Linked DNA regions of Nothobranchius furzeri. The protein of the gene in region 1 purifies or fractionates together with the protein of each later gene. This does not show direct contact. Links are inferred from orthologs where the notes say so. Each region holds a gene or a part of one and is shown on either strand. Other genes may lie near its edges.

Region 1 (3,822 bases):
TGCGTATGGCCGAGGGGAAGAAGCTGTTGGTGAGCCTAGTGGTGTGCCATCTGATTGACCTGTAGCACCGTCCCAAGGTCCATTTCCTTCATTAGCTGCCAATAGAAAATAGATGGGAAAACTCGGGTTAGAAAAGCCTGACGTTTCCACGTCAGACTGTAAATTTGCATTTTGGCTCATGACAGGGAAGGCTATTGTTGGTTTACCGTCCAGCAGAGCACATCTCAGCTAGTAGAAGCTAATCGTCAGCATTAGCAACTCCACCACACTGCAGAACTACATCAGCCTTGTGTTGTTTGTGGAGATAAAACAACCTCGCAGATCAGAGCCATTGGTAGAGTCCCGTTGCTGTTAGCCAATCAGAGATGAGATGTCTGAATCTAATCCATCCAACTAACTTCTAGTTCCTGAAACAGGAGTGCCATGGTAAACAAAGCCTTGCTCTGCTAACGGCTTCTAAAATGGAAGAATTTGGAAAGTGTCTTGCTGGACTGATGCAGTGTTTGTGAAAACACGCTAGCCTTTTCTCTTAACTTGTAAAAATAAACAAAACTTCCTGAAATCTATGAGGTCCGTGACACAGACATTTGTCAGAGATCATCTCTGCTGCTGTTGCTGCTGCTGGCAGGCAGTGTTTTTTTTTGTTGATCTTTACACCAGAGGCTTTACAAAATCAAGGTAAGCTAAAATCTTAATATTCTGCTAGTATCACTGTCATATGACCAAAACAGTTACATGCAATAACAACAGCCCCATCCGCCTGAAACACACACATTCGGCAGCAGTTTTACTTCTCGGATCGATACAGACATGTTTAACGATGACTAATATCGGCCGATATAGATATTGTTGCTGATATATCGTGTATACCTAATTACATCTTAGCTTTGAGTTCTACAGATATTGAGTCTTTGAAACGGTTTTGTTGATCTTTTTAAGATAAGCTGATTACAGTTTAAATCGGAGGTGGAAATGCATAACTGTAAGAATGAAATTTGATCTGGTCCAGTTGGTTATGATTCCTATGTAAGTTTCACATATGAAGCAGTGTGCAGAAGACATGGAACTAAAGCTGCAGGGGAACAAGCAGTCGTTGGTTTATTCTGGTATCAAGAACATCATCAGAACCAGCTCCGGTAGGAAAATAAATGGAGAAATGATTTCCAGAACATTCTTGTTGCTTGTTATTAGGTTGAGTTTTCTGTTGTCTTCCTTGTGCGTTAAGGCACCACAGAGAGCCGCCGCTGCTGGATCGGCTCGGACCGGCAGACAGACGTGCCGCGCTTTAGCAGTGAGGAGCGCTGCCTCGCCCTGCGGCTCTGTGGCTGGATCAGCCGGGGTCCTGACATCGACGTGGAGACCTTCCTGCGATCGCTGGAGCAGGAACGCGAGTGGGAGCGGGCGGCTGCCATTGCTCTGTTCAACCTGGACATCCGCCGGGCCATCCAGATCCTCAACAAGGGAGCCACTATGGAGAAGGGTGAGGGAAAGCTGGTCGGATTCGTCTCGTTTTCCTGTAAACCATCATCCTGGTCCAGGAGCAAACAGCATAATTAAAAATCTTAGAGATTCAAAGACGAAAGCCGTCTGCTTTATATGTCTGATGGTCCTCGGTACCCGGATATGAACGAAAACTAATAAAGTACCGTTGGAGGAAAAAAACAGAGCAAGCCAGCTTTCTAAAGCATTTTAAACACCGACAAGTCCAAAGTGCTGCACACTAACAGCAGTCACATAATACAACATAAAATCAGAAAGACTTAAAATCAATAAAATAATAAAAACAATAATATATTCAGGCAAGATAAAAATTAATGGTGGAACAATTGGTAGCAGGAGGTCACAGGTTCCATCCCCAGCTGTGAGCATGTTCTTTTCACGCTCCGATTTCCTCCCACAGACCAAAAACATGCATGTTGGGTTTATTGATGCTCTGCAGGTGACTACCATATAAATAAACATAAACATAATTAAAGGCATTCAGTGCTTAAAGTAACACTAAATATTTTTTTAAACTTTAAGCTAGAGCTTTAACTGATTGTTGGGTTAGTAACTCGACAAGTTCCATTATGTGACACCACTCTGCAGCCCTCTACTGGTCAGATACAGCACTTAACAGATTTGTGGAATAGGTGGGTGTCCTAGGGGGCGCTCTTAAATCTGCGTTATGGCTGTTAGCTATTTTCTGGGCAAGTTTGATCTTCTGTTGGCATCATGGCGGCGCTGGAAGTAAAAGCAAGAGAGTAATGTCTTTGGAGGTGAAGCAAAGAGCTAAAACCGGAGTAAACATCGGCGTGGCCTACACTAGTTTTAAGGAAGCTAAAAAAAGGCTGTGAAATAACAGGCTGATGGTGACCTAGCTTTGTTACTACAAGACTTGTAAATAATAATATTTTCTGTCCAACAGTGTGGATCTTTTTGATTTGTGGCTTATTTAGTAAGACATGGCTCATGTCAGTGTTGGCTTGTTGCTAGCGCTAGCTACAGCAGACTGGTGCAGGGATGTTGTAATTCCACTTTCAACCAGTAAGGCAGAGGAGCAGGAAACTGCTCAGTGTTACTTTAAGATAAAAATTTTCTGAAATTAGGACACATTATAAATCAAACTTTTTATCTAGAAAACAAATGCAAAGAAAAACAAAACATTTTACGTTCATTATTGGTATTTTTGAGAAAACTTGGAATTGCAGGTCAAAGATCATTTATTACTGAAGTTAGGTGAAGACCAAGATGGAGAGGCTTTGTAAGTGTTACAAACTTTTCTCCTAAACATTTTAACTGGAATGTTTTTCTATCCAATAATCTTCAAACATGTTTTTGGTTCAGAAACCCAAATCTGTGCTCTCCAGCACAACCATCGTTTCTCCTTTAATAAAATGTTCCTTTAAAATAAGGAAGGCTTTGTTTTTTGTTGGTAATTGTGTTAGGATGGAAACATCTGAATGATTTTTGCCCCGTTCTAATGGAGGTGGTCCCACCTCCTGGTGGGAAAATCCAACCACCAACGAGTGCCGCTACCTAGCAACCAGTGTTTTCATGTGCTTGTGAGGGTGTTCGGAAACATGGACGTAATCTATGGATTTTAAATGAATCTAGACACAAAGCATCATCTCTAGAGCTAATGAAATAAAATTCCTTGAGGAAAAACAATGGAATTTGAAAAATGTGACAGCAAAAGGCTCGTGTTTTCTCACACTGCAAAGTTGTCACACTCAAGTTAAACGAAAATGGAGAGAGAGAATGCTGATGTTTACACACGTGTGACCTAGAAAATGTCACCAATGTGGGTTGAGCGTTTTTCTGTTGTGTGTTCTAATGAGAGTTTCCTGAGCATGACTGATGCAGTCATTCATTAGATAAAGTGTGTAAACACCTCATCTGGAACCATGCTTTTACTCTGAAAAGCTACATGCAGCCTTATGTAATAATACAGATAATCACTCATCAGTTGAAGAGCATAGGTAAGCTCACATCTCAAAGGGTTATAAATACTATAAAAATACATGCATAAAATATTTAAATTTGTGACTAAACACTTCAACCAGTGCTTCCTCAGAATGGAGTGAAACAGGAAACGTTTGCTATCAGATCGGAGCGCTACAATTATGCTGTTTCTCAAGCCACCCAGACTGTCTCTAAAAGTAAATATTAACTTTCTTGCTGTAAAGTGAAAACACCCAACTGGCACTGTCCCCTTTAGGGGTCCCACAGAAAATCCCAGAATGCTCTGAAGACGTTCACTCAAAAACAAAAGTGGTTCTTTTTTTAATTCAATTTTGCTGAAATGCAAAACCTAAATAAAGAAGCAGCTCATATAATATT
Region 2 (4,279 bases), on another chromosome or scaffold:
ATCATTTAAATGATGCCCGGTTGTTGAAAAATATTGGCAGCATCATAACATATAACCATTAAAAAAATGGGGTCTAAAATACATGGGAGCGGGTCCAAGTCTCTGGGGGATGCCATATTAGATGCAATATGTCCTTCTGTGGGAGCCCGTGAGGGCAATACACATTTGCAACAAACGGTTATAAAACTTTCGCCATTCCTAAAGTTGTTTTACACATTTACCTCTTCACTCGTTTCCAGTGATGAAAGGTAGTCTGATGTGCTTGTCATTTTGCTGGCAGTTAAACGATCTGACAAAGTACTCATTTGAAAATTGCACTCCAAGGGATTTTTGACCCTAATGGCCTTCCGTTTATATGGTCTTACTCGAACACAAAAATAGTGCTTGCTTGCAATGATTTAGGTATGTACTGCCCACTATCGCCAGGGAAAATACACACCCCAAAAAACTATTTCATAACTTCAAGATCTTTGAAATATCCTCATTAGCTCGCCAGAGCGATACCATTATCGGAAAAAGGAACTGGCCCAAAAATCGGAATTGGTGCAGCTCACATGTGAATGGATGATGATGCTACTTTGTTGTTACTTTTCAGTACTTCATGTGGAGTTTCAGCACAACCATAAGAGTTTATCTTCTATTAGTCAGACATGAAACAGCTTGTATAGTCGACATAATCCAATAATGCAAGATGCATGCAGTTATTTTTAACATAAGCAATTTAGCAGACTAAAAACATTGTCCTCGTTTTCACGTGCAGTTACCTTTGGTCCACCACTCCCCCTGACTCCAAAACATCTGTAGCTTGTATTCAGCAATCTTGTCCACATCGTTTTAAACAAAATAAGAACTTTTATTCATTCACCTACAGCTCAGTTAAGCTCAACTCTGTCCCTCTTCTACTCACAGGAGCTGTATTACAGAACGCGTAAATAATTCCTTCATTCTCCTGGACAATTTTGCGCGACTGCATAGGAAATATGATAATTTGTAGGAAACAAATAACACTGATTGACTGAGCAGGTCGCGTGCATTGAAAATCGTTTCGAAGGTCACGTGACTCAGAAATGTTTCCGCATCCGGCGCAGTTGCGCAATATGCGCAAGACGGCGTTTGCTTTGGAACTGTTGTAAATTTAAAATGTTGCTGCAGTATTATGATACACAATTGTAATAACATGCCGTAGCACGGAGACTTGGACATTTAAACATGTGTTTTAATGACAAAACACACACACACACACAATGAATGTGAATGGTTCACGGTAAATAGAGCTGTAAACTATCATTTATTCGTGTTCGCGTATCTAAATTCACATTTTAAAGTTATTTTTAGTCAGAATGTAATTTTTACAACAAGTTTTTTATCAAAATGATGATTTCATGGACTGAACGTCAATCTTATAAAACAAAAAAACTGTATTCAAGCTATATTTGTTGCAAACACGAGAAGCTGCAGCTTCCGTACAGTCCGTGAATGCAGCATTGTTGTTGTCCTCCATATCTGTTTGAGTAGCTCATTCAAGCAGCTCAAAGTCTCACTTCATAACATTTTCACCAGTGCAAGTACGCTTTTAACTAAATATTCACATTAATTGTTTCCTATTCCGTGCGGTAGTTTTTAAAAATAATTCAAAAGGCTCGCATTTGCTTCTTTTTCGACGTAAAAGCTAACAGCTAGCTTGTTCTGTTGTAGTTAAAGAGGAGAGGAGGCTGTCTCTCTGACAGCATTCAGGTGAAGTTATTTTTAACAACCACATTTAAAACCCTGGTTGGAGCTTATCACAGACATGGCCACTCGAATAGAGTGTATATTTTTTAGTGAGTTTCATCCTACTCTGGGCCCAAAGATAACCTACCAGGTAAGTAAACATGCTTGTTATAGTAGAAATCAAAGTTAATCTTTGCTTTCTTCCTGCGTCTGAGTACTAATCTTCTATTTGATTGTTATTGGTCTGACCCATATTGTGAGTTTCTTGTGTTATTTATTATATCGTGCTAAACAATCTACTTTATATGACTTTGTTCTTTCCCCTTACTTATATTTTGACAGGTTCCAGAGGAATACATTTCAAGAGAGTTATTTGATACTGTTCAAGTCTACATTATCACCAAACCAGAACTACAAAACAAATTAATTACAGTGTATGTAATCCATGCTTGTTAAGTTGATATTTTTTAAAGTCAAACTTCTGACACAATTTTTTTATTTTTTATAGGACTGCGATGGATAAAAAGCTGATTGGCTGCCCGGTGTGCATCGAGCATAAAAAGTATAGTCGAAATGCCCTTCTGTTTAACCTCGGTTTTGTTTGTGATGCTCAGACCAACACGTGCGCTCTTGAACCAATCGTCAAGAAGCTGTCTGGGTACCTCACAACTCTGGAGGTAATGTGCAATGCGTTCTGGGATTGCTTTTTCTTTCTTTTCCAGTGAGACATCTAAGAGGTGATGCTCATGTTTTTTTCTGCATTTTGTTGCAGTTGGAAAGTGGATTCATATCAAAAGAAGAGAGTAAGCATAAACTCATACCCATCATGTCGACCCTGCTAGAGGACCTTAACGCCACAGGAGCCTGCACCTTACCGATTGGTATTGTTTTCTATTTTGTTCTGTAGATTTAATTATGAACACAAACCAAGCAAAATTTACTTCCTCAATTGTGTGTTGTGTGTTACAAAACATGTGATGTAAAGCGGGTCCATGGTGTCTTCAGGTTTGAGCTAACACGTCTGAAAACAGTGTCTCAAACAATCACCACATCTGCCTCTGCTTTAATATTGTGGAACAATTAGCGTTGATATGACTCAAATGAACTGCTGTAGTGCTGTTACAAATGAAATTCTCATTTAGACTTATATTAATTTACAAACGTGGCTCCAGATCCGATATTGAATTGAGTCAAGCTCTTGGGCTTGCTTACAGGTAAACCATAACTTAAAGGGACTTTATGGACTTTTGAATTTTTATACTCGCGATTGCCCCCTCAGGCCAAACGCGTAATGGCAGCTTCAATAGTAGGCTCTTGCACGAGGCACGCATGCTGTACGTGCACACTCCTTAACAAAAATAACAGCTGAGATAGTCCCTTGTGTGTGTGTGTGTGTGTGTGTGTGTGTGTGTGTGTGTGTGTGTGTGTGTGTGTGTGTGTGTGTGTGCGCGTGTGTGTGTGTGTGTGTGTGTGGCCCAGAGGACAGGAGAATGCACAGCTAATTAATTAAATAATTTGGTTCTGTACCTTTCTCTTCAGCACAGTCGACAAAGGTTTATGATGGGTCAGTCCTCCTGCATGCTCAGATCATTCCCTTCCCTTGCTTGAAAAATTGTTCCAAAATGAAAGTTGAACCCACATCTTTTTTATCTGTGAATTCAATGCCGTTCGGCGAGTCTCAAATACAAATTTGGGCATCTTACTGCAAAAAAATATAACATTAATGTGAAAAAAAAACTAAATAAACTATGTTCACACCCAGAATCGAACCCTGGTCTTCTGCATGAGAGTCAGACACCTTACAAGGTGAGCTACACACCAGTAACATTCATAGTATCTGTAACTTTTATATCCTTAATAACACCTGAAACAACGTCAAACCAAAGAACGGTTCAGAGCGAAAATGGCTATTTTGTTGCTAATTTGCAGGAAATATCTAGAAGAAAGTTCTAAAGAAAGTACAGTAGCTAAGGGTCCTCAGAAATGTAGCTAGGTCCGTCACTAGGCATTAGGAACAGCGACAAAGTCGCTGAGTTGGCACTGCTGCTAAAGCTACGGATAGCAAATGCTACGGGCTATGCCTGAGCGTGAACGTGCATGAAGCAGCCTGCTCGACCCGAGCAGCTCTCTTTTTCTGTGATTTTACAGAAAAACAGGCAATCAGGCTCTTTCTACAGGACCAGGACACTGCAGGAGAATGTATGAAGAAGAAATTTATTATTTCTATACATGTTTTGGTTGTCAAACTTCCATAATGCCCCTTTAAAGCCCAAATGTGTGTAACAACATTCAACTCCTTAGCGCCACGCAGTTCAGAGTGGGTATTGCAGCTACAGTAGACCACGCACGTCAAAAAGGCAATGTAGAAACCACCACACACCAGCTTTCAACTGCCTGCATGTTTTATTTAATGTTTCTCCAGCTTCGTGCAATCAGCGTCTCTCTCAGGTATTAGAGAGCTCTCTCTTAGTGACCTGTGAATATATGTAGAACGGGTCTGGTCAGTCATTAGCAGCTGCTGTGTTCTCGCTCCAGTGCTGCAGCAACAACAGTGTCTGCCATGTTACTC

What was found.
Region 2: the proteins of mios (region 1) and nprl2 purify together in Homo sapiens (affinity purification with western blotting; 3 studies listed by BioGRID and IntAct, with this or other methods). This does not show direct contact. The link is inferred for Nothobranchius furzeri from reciprocal best matches to the Homo sapiens genes MIOS and NPRL2.

What each region holds. Positions count from the first base shown.
Region 1 is NC_091745.1:63,841,064-63,844,885, forward strand, and holds part of mios (GATOR2 complex protein MIOS), read left to right. Parts: intron 1-1,037; coding exon 1,038-1,136; intron 1,137-1,225; coding exon 1,226-1,480; intron 1,481-3,822. UniProt on the Homo sapiens protein: As a component of the GATOR2 complex, functions as an activator of the amino acid-sensing branch of the mTORC1 signaling pathway. The GATOR2 complex indirectly activates mTORC1 through the inhibition of the GATOR1 subcomplex.
Region 2 is NC_091743.1:64,714,547-64,718,825, forward strand, and holds the start of nprl2 (GATOR1 complex protein NPRL2), read left to right. Parts: upstream 1-1,471; 5' UTR 1,472-1,789; coding exon 1,790-1,861; intron 1,862-2,052; coding exon 2,053-2,144; intron 2,145-2,218; coding exon 2,219-2,387; intron 2,388-2,482; coding exon 2,483-2,591; intron 2,592-4,279. Other genes in the region: hemk1 (MTRF1L release factor glutamine methyltransferase), read right to left, coding at 765-830. UniProt on the Homo sapiens protein: Catalytic component of the GATOR1 complex, a multiprotein complex that functions as an inhibitor of the amino acid-sensing branch of the mTORC1 pathway.